Linked DNA regions of Macaca mulatta. The protein of the gene in region 1 interacts with the protein of each later gene in a biochemical or structural test. Links are inferred from orthologs where the notes say so. Each region holds a gene or a part of one and is shown in the gene's direction. Other genes may lie near its edges.

Region 1 (9,977 bases):
TAATCCCAGCACTTTGGGAGGCTGAGGCAGGCGAATCATCTGAGGTCGGGAGTTCGAGATCAGCCTGACCAACATGAAGAAACCCCGTCTCTACTAAAAATACAAAAAATTATACGGGCATGGTGGTGCATGCCTGTAATTCCAGCTACTCGGGAGGCTGAGGCAGGAGAATCTCTTGAACTCAGGAGGCGGAGGTTGCGGTGAGCTGAGATCGTGCCATTGCACTCCAGCCTGGGCAACAGGAGCGAAACTCTGTCCCGAAAAACCAAAAAAAAATCTTTTTCTTGTAATTTCCATGTGCCCTAGGGAGGGATCTTAGAGGGACTGCTTTGGAACAGGCGGTCTCTGGGTCAGGTCCAGAGCTCACAGACCGGCCAGAATTCACACTGGCATGGCTGCTTCTGCTGGTTCACAGTGCCAGGCTGTGACTAAGCCAGGGTCACGATGAGTCACCTACAGCAGGAAAAGTGCCCTTGTCCCTCCCAGGCCCCCACCCCCACTTCCCCAGAGCAGGCCTAAGGGTGTGTAGGTGAGTCCAGAAGGGCTGTGTTATCCATTAGACCAGAATCCACAGCTGCTTTTTTTTTTTTTTTTTTTTTGAGACAGAGTCTCACTCTGTCACCCAGGCTGGAGTGCAGTGGCGCAATCTGGGATCACTGCAAGCTCTGCCTCCTGGGTTCACGCTATTCTCCTGCCTCAGCCTCAGGAGTAGCTGGGACTACAGGCACCGCCACCACGCCCGGCTCATTTTTTGTATTTTTAGTAGAGACGGGGTTTCACCGTGTTGGCCAGGATGGTCTCGATCTCCTGACCTTGTGATCCGCCCGCCTCGGCCTCCCAAATTGCTGGGATTACAGGCGTGAGCCACTGCGCCCTGCCTGACTGCTTTTTTTTTTTGAGATGGAGCCTCGCTCTGTCGCCCAGGCTGGAGTGCAGTGGCCGGATCTCGGCTCACTGCAAGCTCCGCCTCCCGGGTTCACGCCATTCTCCTGCCTCAGCCTCCTGAGTAGCTGGGACTACAGGCGCCCGACACCTCGCCTGGCTCGTTTTTTGTATTTTTTAGTAGAGACGGGGTTTCACCGTATTAGCCAGGATGGTCTCGATCTCCTGACCTCGTGATCCGCCCGTCTCGGCCTCCCAAAGTGCTGGGATTACAGGCTTGAGCCACCGCGCCCGGCCTGCTTTTTTAAAATGTAGATTCCTGCCACCCCTTCCTCCCACTTCCTATCTCAGAAATTTGAGGGTACAGCAGAGTGACCATGCTGTCTCTCCTTCCAGGATTTGAACCCTAGCTCCTCACTGTGCCAACGTGTATCTCTGTACACGTTACTTAAACTCTCTGAGCTTCAGTTTTCTCTTCTGTATGATGGGGATACTTGTCAAAGAAGGTGGTTGAGAGGATTAAATGAGATGATGCGTATGAAGGCAGTCAGCACAGTGCCTGGCAGACGGTCATCTCTGAATAAATGTTAGTGGTCCTGAAACGCTTATGGAGTACCTCGTAGACTAGCTGCTTGGACTTTAAGGACATACACAGAACTACAAATGAAAAATTACAGGCCGGGCGCGGTGGCTCACGCCTGTAATCCCAGCACTTTGGGAGGCCGAGGCGGGCGGATCACAAGGTCAGGAGATCGAGACCACGGTGAAACCCCGTCTCTACTAAAAATACAAAAAAAAAAATTAGCCGGGCGCGGTTGTGGGCGCCTGTAGTCCCAGCTACTCGGGAGGCTGAGGCAGGAGAATGGCGTGAACCCGGGAGGCGGAGCTTGCAGTGAGCCGAGATCGCGCCGCTGCACTCCAGCCTGGGTGACAGAGCGAGACTCCGTCTCAAAAAAAAAAAAAAAAAAAAAAAGAAAAATTACAGTAAAATGGGTAAGAGCTGTCATGGGAATAATTTGGACGTATTGCTGTTGATGGAGAGGGAGTGATAGGGTGGTTAAGAAAGGGGAGACATTCGGGCCGGGCGCAGTGGCTCACGCCTGTAATCCCAGCAATTTGGGAGGCCAAGGAGGGCGGATCACGATGTCAGCAGATGGAGACCATCCTAGCCAACACGGTGAAACCCCATCTCTACTAAAAAAAAAAAAATACAAAAAATATTAGCCGGGCATGGTGGCGGGCGCCTGTAGTCCCAGCTATTGGGGAGGCTGAGGCAGGAGAATGGCGTGAACCCAGGAGGTGGAGCTTGCAGTGAGCCAAGATGGCACCACTGCACTCCAGCCTGGGTGACAGAGCGAGACTCCATCTCAAAAAACAAAAACAAAAAGAAAGGGAAGACATTTGAATTTGAGACTCCAAAGTGGGTAGAAGAGCATTCCAGGCCAGGCACAGTGGCTCTTGCCTGTAATCCCAGCACTCTGGGAGGCCGAGGTGGGCGGATCACGAGGTCGGGAGATGGAGACCATCCTGGCTAACACGGTGAAACCTCGTCTCGACCAAAAATACGAACATTATTAGCTGGGCGTGGTGGCAGGCGCCTGTAGTCCCAGCTACTTGGGAGGCTAAGGCAGGGAGAATCACTTGAACCCGGGAGGTGGCGGTTGCAGTGAGCTGTGATCGCACCACTGCACTCCAGCCTGGGCGTCAGAGCAAGAATCCATCTGAAAAAAAAAGAGAGACTATGGCTCAATTTTATGCTCTGAGCTAACCTGGGAGTTTGAACACCTGAAGACTGTTAAACGTTTTACACAAGGTAGCAACACATTCAGATTTGTATACATATATACTTTTTTGAGACAGGATCTCCCTCTGTCGCCCAGGCTGGAGTGTAATGGTGGGATCTCAGCTCACTGCAACCTCTGTCTCCCGGGTTCGAGCGATTCTCCTGCCTCATCTTCCTGAGTAGCTGGGATTACAGGCAGCCACTATCACGCCCAGCTAATTTTTGTATTAGTTGAGACGCGGTTTCACCATATTGGTCAGCCTGGTCTAGAACTCCTGACCTCAGGTGATCCGCCTGCCTCAGCCTCCCAAAGTGTTGGGATTACAGGCGTGAGCCACCGTGCCCGGCCAGATCTGTATTTTAGAAAACTCAGTGGGAGCTGTTTGCAGTGCAATTAGAGGCAACCAGACGAAAGGGCACCAGCGAGCAAGCCACTCATAGGAACACAGTCCAGAGTGACCATGACGGCAGTGAAAGTAGGAGATGCCCCTGGCTACAATTTAGTGTTTAGAAGTATCTGGGAAGGTGACCCGAAAGCCTCAAAAGAGAGGAGAACTCTGTACTTCACGTGGCTTGGCACACTCTGCTCCCTTTGCTTTGAATGTCCTTCCCCTTTTGTCATTCAGCAGTCAACACATGCTACCTCCTCTGGGAAGCCCTCTTGGATTACTCCGCAGACTGGATGGAGGGGGGCTCTGCTCTGTGTTCATGTCCGTTTCCCATGATAGCGCTTGTCAGCATTTGTCATCCTTTTGTCATGCAGTTTCCTGGTTCCTCTCACTGGTGTGTGAGTTTGAGGAGTGCAGGGCCCAGCCTCCATCACCTTTGCACCCGCAGTGCAGGTGGAGTGTCAATAACAATGTCCTGAATGAATCAATGAAAATGAGAACGTCAGCCGGCCTGTGGAGAAGCTAGAGGAACGAGAAGAAACAGACCGACATGGCCGGGAGCGATGTTTCTCGCCTGTAATCCCAGCACTTTGGGAGACCAAGGCGGGTGGATCACCCGAGGTCAGGAGTTCGAGACCAGCCTGGCCAACATGGTGAAACCCCCGTCTCTACTAAAAATACAAAAATTAGCCAGGCGTGGTGGCGCTCGCCTGTAATCCCAGCTACTTGGGAGGCGGAGGCAGGAGAATCGCTTGAACGCGGGAGGCGGAGGTTGCGGTGAGCCGAGATCGCGGCACTGCACTCCAGCCTGGGCGACAGACACACCGTCTGAAAAAACAAAAAAAGAAAAAGAAAAGAGAAACAGACTGATATCCCAGGAAGCCTGGCCGAGAACTGAGGCCCCAGGGCCACACGCGTCTTTTCTCCTGCAATCCTGTCTGGGAGCCGCCGCCTAGAAGTCCCGGGCCGTCCGGGAACGCGAGCCTGAAGCAGCACCGCGCTGTCGGCGGCGCAGGCGCACGTCTCTGCGGGAGGCTGCGAGGCCCCGCCCCCGGGCCCTAGACCCCGCCTCCCATCCCCCTCATCCCCGGGCCGGGCAGGGCGGCACCGCCCATGAGGCCGCATGCGCAGTGCGCGCGCGAGGGCGCCTTGCCCTTCTCCCAATGGCGGGCCGCGGGCCCCTTCCCGGCAGCCTCCCTCGGGCAGGGAGCGCGTCATTTCCGGTGGGGAAGGCCCGCGGCTGCCGCCGCCATTTCGGGCGCTGCTGTGAAGCTGAAACCGGAGCCGGTCCGCTGGGCGGCGGGCGCCGGGGGCCGGAGCGGCGCGCGCGGCGGCGGCACCCCAGCGTTTAGGCGCGGAGGCAGCCATGGCGGGCAACTTCGACTCGGAGGAGCGGAGTAGCTGGTACTGGGGGCGGTTGAGTCGGCAGGAGGCGGTGGCGCTGCTGCAGGGCCAGCGGCACGGGGTGTTCCTGGTGCGGGACTCGAGCACCAGCCCCGGGGACTATGTGCTCAGCGTCTCAGAGAACTCGCGCGTCTCCCACTACATCATCAACAGCAGCGGCCCGCGCCCGCCAGTGCCGCCGTCGCCCGCCCAACCTCCGCCGGGTGAGGGACTGACGGGACGGGGGGCCCTGGGCGGGGTGAGGGCCGCGGAGCTCCCAGCCCGGCTGGCTGCTCCTCGAGAGCGGACCCTCGGGGTCGTGGGCAGAGGGCTGGGTGACCGTGGCAGGGGCCCGCCGGCTGCTGGGGCTCATTCCCACCCGGGGAACAGGAGTGTGGGGGAGGAGGAGCCGCGGACCGAGGCCCCGGGGTGTGCCTGGGAAGGGCAGCCCCGGGGAAGGGGAACTGCTTCGGCCCCAGGGTGGGGCTGGCTCCCGGGCCAGGCGCAAGGGTAGGGCAGGGCAAGGCAACGTGGGGACAAAGAGCTGAGGGAGATGTTGGCACTGCGGGGGCATCACTTGGCAGCGGCGCCCAGAATGAATCCGATAATCCTACAAGTGGCTTTTGGGCTGGAAGCGTTTCCTGCCGTGTTGGAGAGCCGGGTTTGGCCGTGCTCCCCTGGTGGCCTTTGGTAGGAAGTCACCACAAACTGGCCGGGAGGGATGGAGACACCCTCAGGAAACCGGTTAGTTTTTTCCTTTCTTGGGCATTTTTCCAAAATCCTTGTACCGTCCTCTTCCCCCGTGGAGGACGAAGGTGGTGAATTAAGTGATAGAAGAAAGCCTTCAGTGACCAGCCCAACCCAGTTTAAGGCGATGCCTGGCTGCGTGCAGGAGATCTAAGCGTCCAGAAGACTGTCCGCCGGTAGAGGGTTCTGGTTTTCAAAGTGTTTAGTGGAGGAAAGACATTTTATTCCAGAGAATAAACCAGAAATGAGGCAGTGGAAACAGACCCTTCCCTGGATGTGACTGGAGCTTCATTTTCCTTGGACTTACACATTGTCAGTGTGTACTTCAGGGCGTGACCTTGCTCAGTAAGATGGGGCTGCGGGCTGAGTCTTCCTGGATGGTGGGAACAGACTCTACGCCAAGAACATAAATTACCTGCGCTGGGTTTTTCTTGCCAGGGATCCCTGAGATTGACTGTCTTTCCGATGCCGTTGGAGTTGATTTGGGAGTGTTTCAAGGGAATAGATAGATGCCCTTAGTACTGGAGATTTGTGAGGTACGAAGTAATTCTGGGGTTCTCATTGTATGTGTACCTGTTTAACAGCATCAGGAGTCCTCGTGCCTTCACACTGTTGCCAAGTCGAAGCTGTTTCTTCTTGGCCGCTGAGACTGGGTTCAGACTAGTCTCCTATGAATCAGGAAGCTCCTGAGCCATCCTCTGTAGACTTTCTCTTGTAGGATCGTTCTAATTTAGATTTACTTGTTCCGGCCAGAAATGGAGAATTGAATAGCCAGTCTCTTTGTTATTAACACATACCAATTTTTATTTTACTTTTTCCTGAGACGGAGTCTCGCTCTGTCGCCCATGCTGGAGCTCAGTAGCGCGATCTCGGCTCATGGCCACCTCCACCTCCCCGGGGCTCCCGGGTTCAAGATTCTCCTGCCTCAGTCTCCCGAGTAGCTGGGATTACAGGCACCCACCACCACAACCAGCTAATGTTGTATTTCTAGTGGAGACAAGATTTCACCAGATTGGCCAGGCTGCTCTCAAACTCCTGACCTCAGGTGATCCACCCTCCCAAAATGCTGGGATTACAGGTATGAGCCACCGTGCCTGGCCAACACATAACCAATTTTTTTCTTATTTTATTTATTTATTTATTATTTATTTATTTTGAGACAGAGTCTCTCTCTGTCACCCAAGCTGGAGTGCAGTGGCGCCATCTTGGCTCACTGCAACCTCCGCCTTTTGGGTTCAAGTGATTCTCCTGCCTCAGCCTCCTAAGTAGCTGGGATTACCAGTGCCTGTCACCACGCCCAGCTAATTTTTGTATTTTTAGTAGAGATGGGGTTTTACCAGGTTGACCAGGTGGGTCTTGAACTCCTGACCTCAGGTAATCCACTCGCCTTTGCCCCCTCAAAGTGCTGGGATTACGGGTGTGAGCCACTGCACCCAGCTTTGTTTGTTTGAGGCGGAGTTTCACTTTTGTTGCCCAGGCTGGAGTTCAGTGGTGTGATCTCAGCTCACTGCAATCTCTACGTCGTGGGTTCAAAGGATTCTCTTGCTTCAGCCTCCCTAGTAGCTGGGATTACAGGCACACGCCACCATGCCTGGCTAGTTTTTGTATTTTTAGTAGAGATGGGGTTTCACCATGTTGACCAGGCTGGTCTCGAACTCCTGACCTCAGGTGATCCGCCCGCCTCAGCCTCCCAAAGTGCTGGGATTACAGGTGTGAGCCACCACACCCAGCCCAACACATAACTATTTTTAGAAAATGAGTATGGGGTCTATAAGTTCACAAATTATTGTAGATCTTTCTCATTCTGGCCAGTTTAATGGTGTTATGAGATGGGAATATTGATGTACCTGTGTTGGCCCTGAACCAGATATATGCTACTTTGATGCCACCTGCATGGTATCTGGGGTTTTGCATTATATGTAGTAACATGATGGCAAACTGTTATTGAAACTCACTTTTCAGCCTTTTGTTTGTGTTTGTTGGTTGCCAGAGTTGAAAATGGCAGCCGGCAGGTTTGTTAGCTTGATATTTTTTCACATCTTAGCATAACGATTTTTATATCTCAAGCCTTACTTGGATAATGGAGCACCACCTTTTCAAAACAGATAAGAACTCAGTTCCTTGGCCCAGGAAAGAAGGTGAAGATTGCCAAAGTTTGTGGATGGGGTGTGGAATATTCACGAGTATTGTGATAATTCTGCCATATTGTACCCCATTTTCTACGATTCAGTTGCTGTTTTTTCTCTCTTCTGAGACAGGGCCTTTGTCTCTCAAGCTGGAGTGCAGTGGCATGAACACAGCTCACTGCAGCCTTGACCTCCCGGGCTCAAGCCATCCTCCCACTTTAGCCTCCTGAGCAGCTGGGACTACAGGCATATCCACCATGCCTGGTTAACTGTTTAACATTTTTTTGTGGAGATGAGGGGTTTCACTGTGTTGTCCAGGCTAGTCTCAAATTCTTGGTCTCAAGAGATCCTCCCGCTTCAGACTCCCAAAGTGCTGGAATTGCAGGTGTGAGCCACTGTGCCTGGCTCAGTTGCTGTCTTGTTTGTTTGTTTGTTTTTTGAGGCAGAGTTTTTTTTTGTTTGTTTTTTTTTTTGAGACGGAGTCTCGCTCTGTCGCCCAGGCTGGAGTGCAGTGGCCGGATCTCAGCTCACTGCAAGCTCCGCCTCCCGGGTTCATGCCGTTCTCCTGCCTCATCCTCCCGAGTAGCTGGGACTACAGGCGCCCGCCACCGCGCCCGGCTAGTTTTTTGTATTTTTTAGCAGAGACGGGGTTTCACTGTGTTAGCCAGGATGGTCTCGATCTCCTGACCTCGTGATCCGCCCGTCTCGGCCTCCCAAAGTGCTGGGATTACAGGCTTGAGCCACCGCGCCCGGCCGAGGCAGAGTTTTTAACTCTTGTCTCCCACACCAGAGTGCAATGGCGTGATACTGACTCACTGCAACCTCCGTCTCCCAGGTTCAAACAATTCTCCTGCCTCACCCTCCTGAGTAGCTGGAATTACAGAGGCCCACCACCATGGTCAGCTAATTTTTGTATTTTTTAGTAGAGATGGGGTTTCGCCATGTTGGCCAGGCTGGTCTGGAACTCCTGAACTCTGATGATCCACCCGCCTCGGCCTCCCAAAGTGCTGGGCCTGAGCCACCGCACCCGGCCTGTCTGTATAACCTCAGAATTACTTTGTACCTCAAGTGCTAAGTGCTTTGTACCTCAAATCTCAAGTGCTAAGTACTGAATCTTTGTTCTCCCCCTCACCAAGTCCTTTTGAAGTCACACAGAGAAATTTCTTGAATTTTAAAGAGGCGTATACAATATTAATAACTAATGTTTATTGACTGGTTATTCTGTGCCAGGTACTTTGCTTGAGTACTTTATGTGCCTTATTTCACCTGCTGTCTAGGACAGTCTGGTGAGATAAGTAATATGATCTCCTTTTATTAAAATATTCCCATTTTATACAGGAGGAAACACTCAGATTCAGTAACTTGCTTAAGGTCACACAGCTAGTAAATGACTTTCCAAAGTTGAACCTAGGCATTCTGACCTGAGAACTGACCCTTTTATGCTACACTTGTCAGAACCAGCGTCCTTTTGGGATCTCAGCAATGCATGTGGAGGTCTGTATCCTCCATATCCTCAGTACTTTGTTTTGTTTTTTTGGATGGAGTTTCGCTCTTGTTGTCCCCCAGGCTACTAGAGTGCAGTGGTGCAGTCTCGGCTCACTGAAACCTCCCCTTCCCTGGGTCAAGTGATTCTCCTTCCTCAGCCTCCTGAGTAGCTAGGATTACAGGCATGCGCCACCATGCCCGGCTAATTTTTTTTTTTTTTTGTATTTTTGGTAGACACAGGTTTCACCGTGTTGGCCAGGCTGGTCTCGAACTCCTGACCTCAGGTAATCTGCCTGTCTCACCCTTGTGTTTTTTTTTTTTCCCCACCGTGTTGCTCAAACTGGAGTGCAGTGGCTGTTGACAGGCACAGTCATAGTACACTACAGCCCTTAACTTTGGGGCAGGCAGTCCTCCTGACTCAGGCTCTGAGTAGCTGGGACTTCCAGCATGTACAGCTGCATCCAACCCAGGTTTTTTTAAAGATCAGAATTAAAGAATGGCAAGAAGAGGCCGGGCGCGGTGGCTCACGCCTGCAATCCCAGCATTTTGGGAGGCCAAGGCAGGCGGATCATTTGAGGCCAGGAGTTAGAGACCAGCCTGGCCAACATGGTGAAACCCCATCTCTCCTAAAAAATACAAAAATTAGCAGGGCGTGGTGGCATGCGCCTGTAATCCCAGCGACTGGAGAGATTGAGGCACAAGAATCGCTTGAACCTCGGAGGCAGAGGTTGCAGTGCGCCGAGATCATGCCACTGGCTTTATCGTTCAGACAATACGTATCTGCTATCTTAAGTCAGTGATGAAGAAGCTTTTTAAAATTGTTACTACTTTATTTTTTATTTTTTATTTTTGCGATGGAGTCTTGCTCTGTCACCCAGGCTGGGGTGCAGTGGGGCGATCTCAGCTCACTGCAACCTCCCCCTCCCTGCTCAAGCCATTCTCCTGCCTCAGCCTCCCGAGTAGCTGGGACTACAGGCGCACGCCACCACGCCCAGCTAATTTTTTTGTATTTTTAGTAGAGACGGGGTTTCACCATGTTGGCCAGGCTGGTCTCGATTTCCTGACCTCAAGTGATCCGCCTGCCCTGGCCTCCCAAAGCGTTAGGATTACAGGCGTGAGCCCCCGCGCCCAGCTGGGTATTATTTTCAAAGGCATCGGTACAGAATGGGCCGGGGATTCTCA
Region 2 (9,244 bases), on another chromosome or scaffold:
GGCTGGAAATGTTCTTTGTGTTTTTAGTGGCACTTACTTGGGTATATGCAGTTGTCAAAACTCATCAAACTGGGAGAAAATGCATTCTAATCTTTTTTAAAAAACCACGTGGGCCCTTAGGTCTTCCCTTTTTTTTCTTTTGCTATGATTTGAAAAAGGCTGTTTTTCTTTTCTTTTTTCTCAGTTAATGGTTCTAAAGTGATTTCTTTGCTGGGTTATCTCCCCTTAACTCCTTCTCCATTGACAAGGACCCCAACCAGCCGCCACCCACCCCCACCAGCTAGCTGCTCCACCACACCTGTGGCCAGCTCGCCTTGGGAAGCCACCCAGTGCCACACGATCTAGTGACTTTAGAGAACTAGAAACAGAGTAATTCCCCAACAAACTGACTGGGAATCTGTTCTGCCGGGTATTGTAATTTGTGTGATAAACAATCATTTTGAGACTCTGGGGTTTGCCATTTCCCCTTCCAAGAGGAAGTGCCTTTACGCATTTGAAACTTCTTGACATGCCATGAAGGTATTTTTGGAGGACCGGGGACATTTGGGAAGTCATGCAGATTACCTAAGGCGAGTGATTCTTGCGTTTATGGCGCATGGAGAATCTGTAGGCACAGAAATGAGACCCAGCAGCAGAGGACAGACAGCACCTGCCTGCCTTCTTGTGGAAACTCAGTGGTGACGGGAGCTTTGCTCATTGCCTTTTTCTTGTGGGGTAGGAGCTGGTCAGGCTCACCGTCGAGAAGCAGGGACGTCCATCTCCGACGAGCCCCGTGAAGCCCAGTTCCCCTGCTGGCAAGCCTGATGGGTAGGTGCTGACTAACCCTCCTGTCGCAGGGGTCACACTCAGTGGCAAAGTCTCTACATTTGACAAGGATAGGGCCTGGGGGGTGGGCAGCATGAAGGTGGGCTGCTGGAGGCCCATATTGCTTTTTCAGTGGTTAGCATTGTGTGTATATTTCACACAGGCTTGAAGTATTGCCCATCTCAAGTTTACTCTTCAGTGTGACTGTTTCCAAGGATCATGTGTGAGCGCATCCAGTGACACATACCAGTGCTTTTCCTGGGCAACTTCGTTTCATAATTACAAAGAACTTTTAAGGGCTTGGGTTTGGGGACTTTGACTTGAGTGCACTCTTGCTTGATCCAGAGTAAACTGAGGATGACATCGATGGTTGTAAGGGTTTATATTCATCTCTACTCTAAGCTCCTGGTAAAAATATAAAACATAAATTTGGAGCTTTTGTTTTGTTTTTGAGACAGAGTCTCTGTTGCTTAGGCTGGGATGCGGTGGTACGATCTGGGCTCATTGCAACCTCCTCTCAGGTTAGAGCGATTCTCTTGCCTCAGCCTTTCAAGTAGCTGGGACTACAGGTGCACGCCACCACGCCCGGCTAATTTTTGTATTTTTAGTAGAGACAGGGTTTCACCATGTTGGCCAAGCTGGTCTCAAACTCCTAACCTCAAGTGATCCGCCACCTTGGCCTCCCGAAGTGCTGGGATTATAGGTGTGAGCCACTGTGCCCGGCCTGGAGCATTTTAGAGAGCCCTTAGATCATCTTCAGATAAGGAAACTGAGGTGCAAAGTTGGGGGCACAGCCAAGCTCCAGTAGCTCCTTAGCAACCAAACCAGAACCCCAGAGCTCTGTATCCAGGGAGCCTGCTCCTCAGCCCCACCTCACCCACCATGTTCTACCCAGTCACATCCTCACCCTCTCAGGGCCTGTATGTGCTCGTCCCGTCTTTGACCTTCTGTAACCCCAAGTTCTTCCCAATTCTGCAGCCCAGCAGAGCTCCCCCTGACAGACCGCGAGGTAGAAATCCTAAACAAGACGACCGGGATGTCACAGTCAACTGAGCTCCTCCCAGATGCCACAGATGAAGAGGTCGCGCCCCCCAAGCCCCCTCTGCCTGGCATTCGGGTGGTTGATAATAGGTAACTACCTTCCTGTTTGTCCAGTGCCTCCCATGGCAGAATGAGCAAGAAAGGGAGGAAGGCAGGGCTCGGGCCCTTTCCCCTCAGTGCTGGGGGCTTGGCCCCCCTTGGGAGGCTGACTCTGGAGCTGTCCCCCCCCCCCCCGCCCAGCCCTCCCTGGCCACCCTGAGCTCTCCTGAAGGCCTCCTTGTGCCCTCAGCCCAGGGAGACCTGGTATGATTTATTATGAAAGAAAAAGAAAGGGTTGTTCTTTTTCGTTCATTTGGTATTTACAGGTTTTATTTTGGCGGAGGGGAGTAGGCAGCAGTTGAAGTGTGAACACTGGGTGTGGAGAGTCTAGTAATGAAAGAGCCCCACATCCTGTACCCCAATATCATGCTGAAGAGCTTTGGTGAGTGTGGTTTGGTCTGCCTGGACGTTTCGGTCTGTTTCAGTCCTCCACCAGCATTGCCACCCAAGAAAAGACAGTCGGCACCGTCCCCTACCCGAGTGGCTGTGGTGGCCCCCATGAGCCGAGCCACCAGTGGCTCCAGTTTGCCTGTTGGAATCAATAGGCAGGTAATGCAGCTCGTGTTCGCTTCTTGGGAAGGCAGGGAGGGGGGTCGGGATTTGCTCCTGAAGCTGAAACCCATGGTCTTCAGTCACTGGTGTTTTGTCACATCGAGGGGTGTGAGACCTTGTACCCATGCCTCTCATTCCAGGACATGATCCAAATTCCCATATGGGGATAAGGGTCAGGGCAGGGAGGCCAGAGCCAAAGGGCGTCTCCTGGGGATAGGTGAGCCCAGCCCCAGAGCCCTCCCTGGTCACACCCCCCACCAACTCCAGATGGCTGCTTCTCTGCTGTATGTGTCCTTCAATTGCTGACGTCAGAGGTGGTTTTTGAGTTTGCCTGGCAGTATTTCCTTCTCTAAGTAAATGCACCGGTTGCCTCACCCCTGGTCTCTGCCACCGTTTCTCAGAAGTGACTTGGCTTTGTTTTTCTTTTTCCGTTTAAGGATTTTGACGTTGACTGTTATGCACAGAGACGACTGTCAGGAGGCAGCCACTCATATGGTGGAGAGTCGCCCCGCCTCTCCCCCTGCAGCAGCATAGGCAAGCTCAGCAAGTCAGACGAGCAGCTGTCCTCTCTGGACAGGGACAGTGGGCAGTGCTCCCGGAACACAAGCTGTGAAACACTAGGTGAGCCGCCAGCATCCTCCTGTTCCATCCTGTCTTGGTGGCTTCTCTGGGGCCATACAGTCCTGGGTGGGAGTCCCAGGTCATGCGATCATTGACTACGTGACTTTGGCCCACTTGTTTAAAATCTGAGCCTCAGCTTCCTCATCTGCAAAATAAGGATAACAGTATCTGCCTCCCTAGGAAGTTGAGCATGTAAATGAAATCACAACGTAAAACCACAGCCTAGATATTCAAGCGGTAACTGTTGTTAGTTCATCTGTCAGTGGGTAATTTGACTCTCTTTACCAAAATTAAGAGCCATTTGTGTTGAGAGCTTTAAATGAAGGGGTGGGGGTCCTGACAACACTTGACAGAGGCTGAAGGGGAAAGAGCCGCACGAGCCAGCCTTCTCCTTAGTCAGCGCTGAATGTGTGCTGTGCGGGCCCCTCCCGTCTGCCGGGCAGGGGGCTTAGAGAGCAGGAAGCTGTTTGTATCCTGTGAACTAGATATTTTCACTTCTGAGAATGTATCCTAGGAGCATAATCAGCGATTAATAGCAAGATTTCATTGGTAGGAAATCAGGTGAATGATGGTACATTCATTTGCTGGAATAATCTGTAGCTATTAAAAATTGCTCATAATATATTGATAACTGGAAAAAGTACAGGGCCATTTACATATTTTCATAGTATTCTCAATTTTTTTTTTGAGACAGAGCCTCACTCTGTCCCCCAGGCTGGAGTACAGTGACATTATCTGGGCTTACTGCAACCTCCGCCTCCCAGGTTCAAGTGATTCTCCTGCCTCAGCCTCCCGAGTGGCTGGGACTACAGGTGTGCACCACCACGTCCGGGTAATTTTTTTGTATTTTTAGTAGAGGCGGGGTTTCACCATGTTGGCCAGGCTGGTCTTGAACTCCTGACCTCAGGTGATCTGCCCGCCTCAGCCTCCCAAAGTGCTGGGATTACAGGCGTGGGCCACCGTGCCCAGCCAATTTTTGTATTTTTAGTAGAGAAAATGGTTTCATCACATTGGCCAGGCTGGTCTTGAACTCCTGGCCTCAAGTGAGCAGCCCACTTCAGCCTCAATAAGTGCTGGGATTACATTCGTGAGCCACTGCGCCCAGCCAATTTTTGTATTTTTAGTAGAGACAGGGTTTCACTACATTGGCCAGGCTGGCCTTGAACTCCTGACCTGAAGTGATCGGCCTGCCTCAGCCTTGCAAAGTGCTGGAATTACAGGCGTGAGCCACCACGCAGCCCTCAGTTGGGCTTTTTCAAAAAGGAATCCTAGAAGCAAAAGAGGCATTTAAGGAAATACATCAAAATGTAAATAGAAAATACAGTTAGATTACGGGGTTGTGGGTGATTTTTATTTTCTTGATGTAATTTGCCACGGTTTCTGTGATGGTTGTGTATTTTTCTTTTTTTTTAAGTAAGAAATGTAAAAAATAAGAAAAGTATAGCAAACAGCCATATTCCCATCTGGTTTGCTTTTATAATCAGGGAGAAGAATGAAGAATATAACATGTAAATATAAACGAAACCCTGGAGACATGTCTTTGTCACACACCCATGAGCAAGCCGGCAAGAGGTGGGCAGCGGGGGCTGGCTGCTCCTGCAGGGCCTCTGGCTAACGGGTCTTTTTTTTCCCTGTTGTAACTGCAGACCACTATGATCCCGACTATGAATTCCTCCAGCAAGACCTCTCTAACGCAGACCAGATACCTCAGCAGACGGCCTGGAACCTTAGCCCGTTGCCAGAGTCTTTGGGGGAGTCTGGGTCTCCATTTGTTGGCCATCCTTTCCAGCTGCCTCTTGGCAGCCATCCCCAGCCAGACGGACCTCTGGCCCCAGGGCAGCAGACAGATACGCCGCCTGCTCTCCCCGAGAAGAAGCGCAGGAGTGCAGCCTCCCAGACGGCGGACAGCTCTGGCTGCAGGGTGTCCTACGAGCGGCATCCCTCGCAGTACGACAACATCTCTGGGGAGGACCTGCAGAGCACGGCCCCAATCCAGTCCGTCCCCTATGCGCCCTTTGCTGCTATTCTCCCCTTTCAGCATGGAGGTTCCTCAGCCCCTGTCGAATTTGTGGGTGATTTTACTGCTCCTGAATCAACGGGTGACCCAGAAAAACCACCTCCTCTACCAGAGAAGAAAAACAAACACAGTAAGCTTTTGTTGCACTGTTGTCAGGAAGTGCGTTTTATAACCTGAAATGGCAGTATGTTTTCTTTCAGCATTAGACCAGAAGCAAATCAGTGGCCTCATTATTTCATAAAAGATAGGCCAGCCAGGTATGTCGACACTTCTGGGAGCCAGGTTTTCTCATTACAGGTGATCGTTTTTAAAGCCTGATCAGCTGATCTCTCCTTTATAGTTTCCGTACAGTCTCAGGCCGATTCTCCACGTAGCCCGAGGGCTTCTCCTCTTTAGATGGCAGCAGTTGACCTTCTGGCCTGATCACAGTGACAGAGGGAAACAAGTGTCCTGGCATGCAGGACAGCATTGCAGCAACATCTGCATAGAGCGAGGTGGATATGTGAATTTCAGCAGAACTTACCTAGTGTCCACAGAGTGATTGTCTAAGGATCCTGTCTAGAGCACGCTGTCTCTGTTCATGCTCCCAGAATGACGTGGGAGCTGAGGTTGCCCAGCAGGAGTAATTGAGGACACTTCTTGGACCAAACATTTTAATATATGATGTTACTGGAGCCCAGGGGTGGAGCTGAAGTTTTGAATATTTTCCAACTGTAAATCTGCCATAAAAGTAATAAGGAGAGTTCTCCTGGAAATTCTGTTTTCTCCTAGCTCCCCTAACTGCCCCACACTTCTGGGAGTTGCCTGGCCCCCTCTGTCCCCGCCCTCTCCCCGCTTCACTAGCATAGTTCTGCTTCGATTTTCTTGGCAGCGCAGCTGTCACCGTTTCAATGTGTGTGGTCACGTTAGCCCCACAGCCCCAGGCTTCCCTGGCCTCAGTTGACATATCCAACAGAGAACTTCTGTGAACTAGAAATGGAATCTCTACTCCAAATTCCCAAATGAGAGCATCTGAGCCCAGCTTAGAACTGGGCCCCATTCTCAAAGAAGGGAAGACCTGGCTTGGTTCAGTCCAGCAAGGATCGCCCTGAGGGCCGGCTGCGTGGTCTCCAGAAGGCTGCGGCTGAGATGGTGTCATGTATCCCCAGCTCCTCGGTGGGTGTTGCCCAGCTTGTGTGATGGCCTCAGCAGTGGTCCCCCAGCTAGAGGGAGGGCTGGCTCTGTGGGACTAATGATGTCATCCCCATCTGTCGTGTATATTCGCTCATCAGAAACCAGGGCTTCCGCAGAGGGGTGTGCAATGGCAATGCCAGAAGCATTTCCTTCTCTTCCCCTCCCTCTGCATGGACAAGTGTTTAAAGAGCTGTTGGCCTCCCCCTTCACCTCTGTTATCTTGGGCTACATGCCACTCAAGCTCACCCCCTTTCCTTCCCTAGGGGAGGGGTCCTCTGAGCTCAGACACTGGGCAGGATGGCATCCTTACAAACTGCAGCAGACGCCAGAGAGCCTTACCCTTCCAGCTCCTAGAACAAGTGTGGGCGGCGGTCCTCATGCAGGGTCTGTAGAGGGGAGAAGGAAAGGGAGGGGTAGCCAGTGTTTCCTTTCAAACAGTCTCAAGTGGCTGAAAATCCCCAGTAATTTAGGCTACCATTTTGAGGCTTTAACCCATTCATCAGTGTCTCCAGTACTGGAGCCTGCAAACCTCTAAAAAACTCCTGAGCTGCAGCCATGGCGTGCCCTGAGCTAAAGCTTCACACGCCCTGTCGAAGGTCATCGTGACAGCCACCTGCAAGGCAGGCCCTATTAGCTCCAATTTCATAGGTAGAGAAACTGGAGCTTAAAAGAACTGAGTATTGCCCAAGATCAACAAGCAAGTGGGGCACGGATCTGGGACTGAGAGCCTGACCTGAGTTGTACAAGCCTGTTACACTTCCTCCCGAGCCAAGGAGGAATTCAGCCCTCCTTCCTTGAGATCCCATCCAGTTTTCAGTGTTGACCCCTATGCAGGGGGTGGTCTTCTCCATACTCTGTGAAAGAGCCCCAAACTTAGGTGCCCTGAGCCTCAGTCCTAGTCCCCAGTCTGCTCTTCACTCCCCGAGGGGACCCTCAGGTGACCTTGTGGAAAATGCCTCAAAATTGCTTTCAGGGAAAGAAGGAAAGAATCATCACCCTGGCCGCGTGGCTGACACTGGCCTGAGTTCACGCACGCTCAGTCCCAGTGTCACGACGTATCCTCATCATTTGGGATGCACTGATACCATGAGGGTCCCCAGCCCCTCTTGCCAGGGGCAACCCCATGAGTCCCTTGCACCAGACGAGCCTTGTGATCACTGTCCGGCACCTGAAATCCCCACAGTCCCAGGCCCTGAGCACTGGCGGCTGAGCCTTCCCAGCAATGCTGGCTGCCTGGCCTCTGGGCTGCCACTGGGCTGCTTTTGAAATGGACTGGGTCCTCCTCATTTCTAGAAGGCTGGGAATGTCACTGCTATTCCCTATGCTTGGCTAGCAGGTCTCTACAAGGGCTTCATCATCAAGAGTTCAGAAAGACCTCCTGAAGAGATCACAGTTTCACAGAAAAGTCAGGCAGAGGTGGTTGTGTTTAGTCTTTTTCTTTTTTCCATAGTTCACTGCAGCCTTGAACTCGGTTCAAGGGATCCTCCCACCTCAGCCTCTTGAATAGCTGGGACCATAGGCACATACCACCATTGCTAAGTTTTATCTTTTCTTTTTTCTTTTTAGAGATGGGAGTCTCACTGTGTTGCCCAGGCTGGTGTCGAACTAGCCTCAAGTGACCCTCCTGCCTCAGCCTCCCAAAGCACTGGGATTATAGGCATGAGCCACTGTGCCCGGCCACGTTTAGTCTTTTTAGGGAGCAGTTTGTGGGTGCTTGGGATCACCTTCCTAGGCTTGCCCCTTCCTCTGGAGCCTGGTGACGATGGTTGCACAGCATTAAAGAGGAAGTGTGGGGCTAGGCGCAGTGGCTCACACCTGTAATCCCATCACTTTGGGAGACCGAGCCAGGTGGATCACCTGAGGTCAGGAGTTTGAGACCAGCCAGACCAACATGGCACAACCCTATCTCTACTGAAAATACAAAAATTAGCTGGACGTCGTGGTCCATGCCTGTAATCCCAGCTACTCGGGAGACTGAGGCAGGAGGATCACTTGAACCCACGAGGTGGAGGTTGCAGTGAGCCGAGATCACACCATTACACTCCAGCCTGGGCGACAAGAGTGAAACTCAGTCTCGAAAAAAAAAAAAAGGAAGTGTAAGACAAGCTCGGCCGGGCGCGGTGGCTCAAGCCTGTAATCCCAGCACTTTGGGAGGCCGAGGCGGGCGGATCACGAGGTCAGGAGATCGAGACCATTCTGGCTAACACAGTGAAACCCCGTCTCTACTAAAAATACAAAAACTTAGCCGGGCGAGGTGGCAGGCGCCTGTAGTCCCAGCTACTCGGGAGGCTGAGGCAGAAGAATGGCGTAAACCCGGGAGGCGGAGCTTGCAGTGAGCTGAGATCCGGCCACTGCACTCCAGCCTGGGTGACAGAGCGAGACTCGTCTCAAAAAAAAAAAAAAAAAAAAAGACAAGCTCAAGGGGCTGCGAGCTGCCCTTTCAGTAGCAGCAGCTGACCTCAGGGGGGAACCATCTCTTCCTGTGCATCTTTTCCAACCAAGTTCTGCTCTGTGCTTGTTGGAGCTAGTAAGAAATTCTTACATAATCTTTTAAATAAAGAAGGTGACTTTGAACCCCTTCCTTCAGTGACACTCCTGGAGAGAGAGCATTTCCTCTATACCTGGACCCCCAGAGCGGCTCAGGGAAGAAATAAACTCCCTACCTCTGTGACTGTCTTCCTCAGCTCAGTGTCTGGCCTTCCTTGGTTTGTTGACTAGTTGGGGTTTGCAGAAAAGCCTCTGGCTTTGTGCTTATTTGAGGATACAAAATTTAGCACTGCAGAGCCACCACTTTTTCTTGGTATCTGAAGCTCAGCTCCACCTGGCAGGTGCTCGTGGCACTTGTGACGTGCCCCGAGGGGAAAGTGCCTGCTCAGGAGGTGGCTGAGACTTGCCATCCCTTGAGTCCCTCGCTTGAGTCCTGAGTTCGCATTAGGG

The links.
Region 2: the proteins of CRK (region 1) and RAPGEF1 form a complex in vitro, tested with the Homo sapiens proteins (4 studies listed by BioGRID, with this or other methods). The link is inferred for Macaca mulatta from reciprocal best matches to the Homo sapiens genes CRK and RAPGEF1.

What each region holds. Positions count from the first base shown.
Region 1 is NC_133421.1:2,998,278-3,008,254, reverse strand, and holds the start of CRK (adapter molecule crk), read left to right. Parts: upstream 1-4,305; 5' UTR 4,306-4,420; coding exon 4,421-4,661; intron 4,662-9,977. UniProt on the Homo sapiens protein: Involved in cell branching and adhesion mediated by BCAR1-CRK-RAPGEF1 signaling and activation of RAP1.
Region 2 is NC_133420.1:15,873,277-15,882,520, forward strand, and holds part of RAPGEF1 (rap guanine nucleotide exchange factor 1), read left to right. Parts: intron 1-718; coding exon 719-807; intron 808-1,782; coding exon 1,783-1,935; intron 1,936-2,369; coding exon 2,370-2,493; intron 2,494-2,933; coding exon 2,934-3,117; intron 3,118-4,763; coding exon 4,764-5,264; intron 5,265-6,246; exon of another isoform or gene 6,247-7,224; intron 7,225-7,392; exon of another isoform or gene 7,393-7,475; intron 7,476-7,975; exon of another isoform or gene 7,976-8,142; intron 8,143-9,244. UniProt on the Homo sapiens protein: Guanine nucleotide-releasing protein that binds to SH3 domain of CRK and GRB2/ASH. Transduces signals from CRK to activate RAS. Involved in cell branching and adhesion mediated by BCAR1-CRK-RAPGEF1 signaling and activation of RAP1.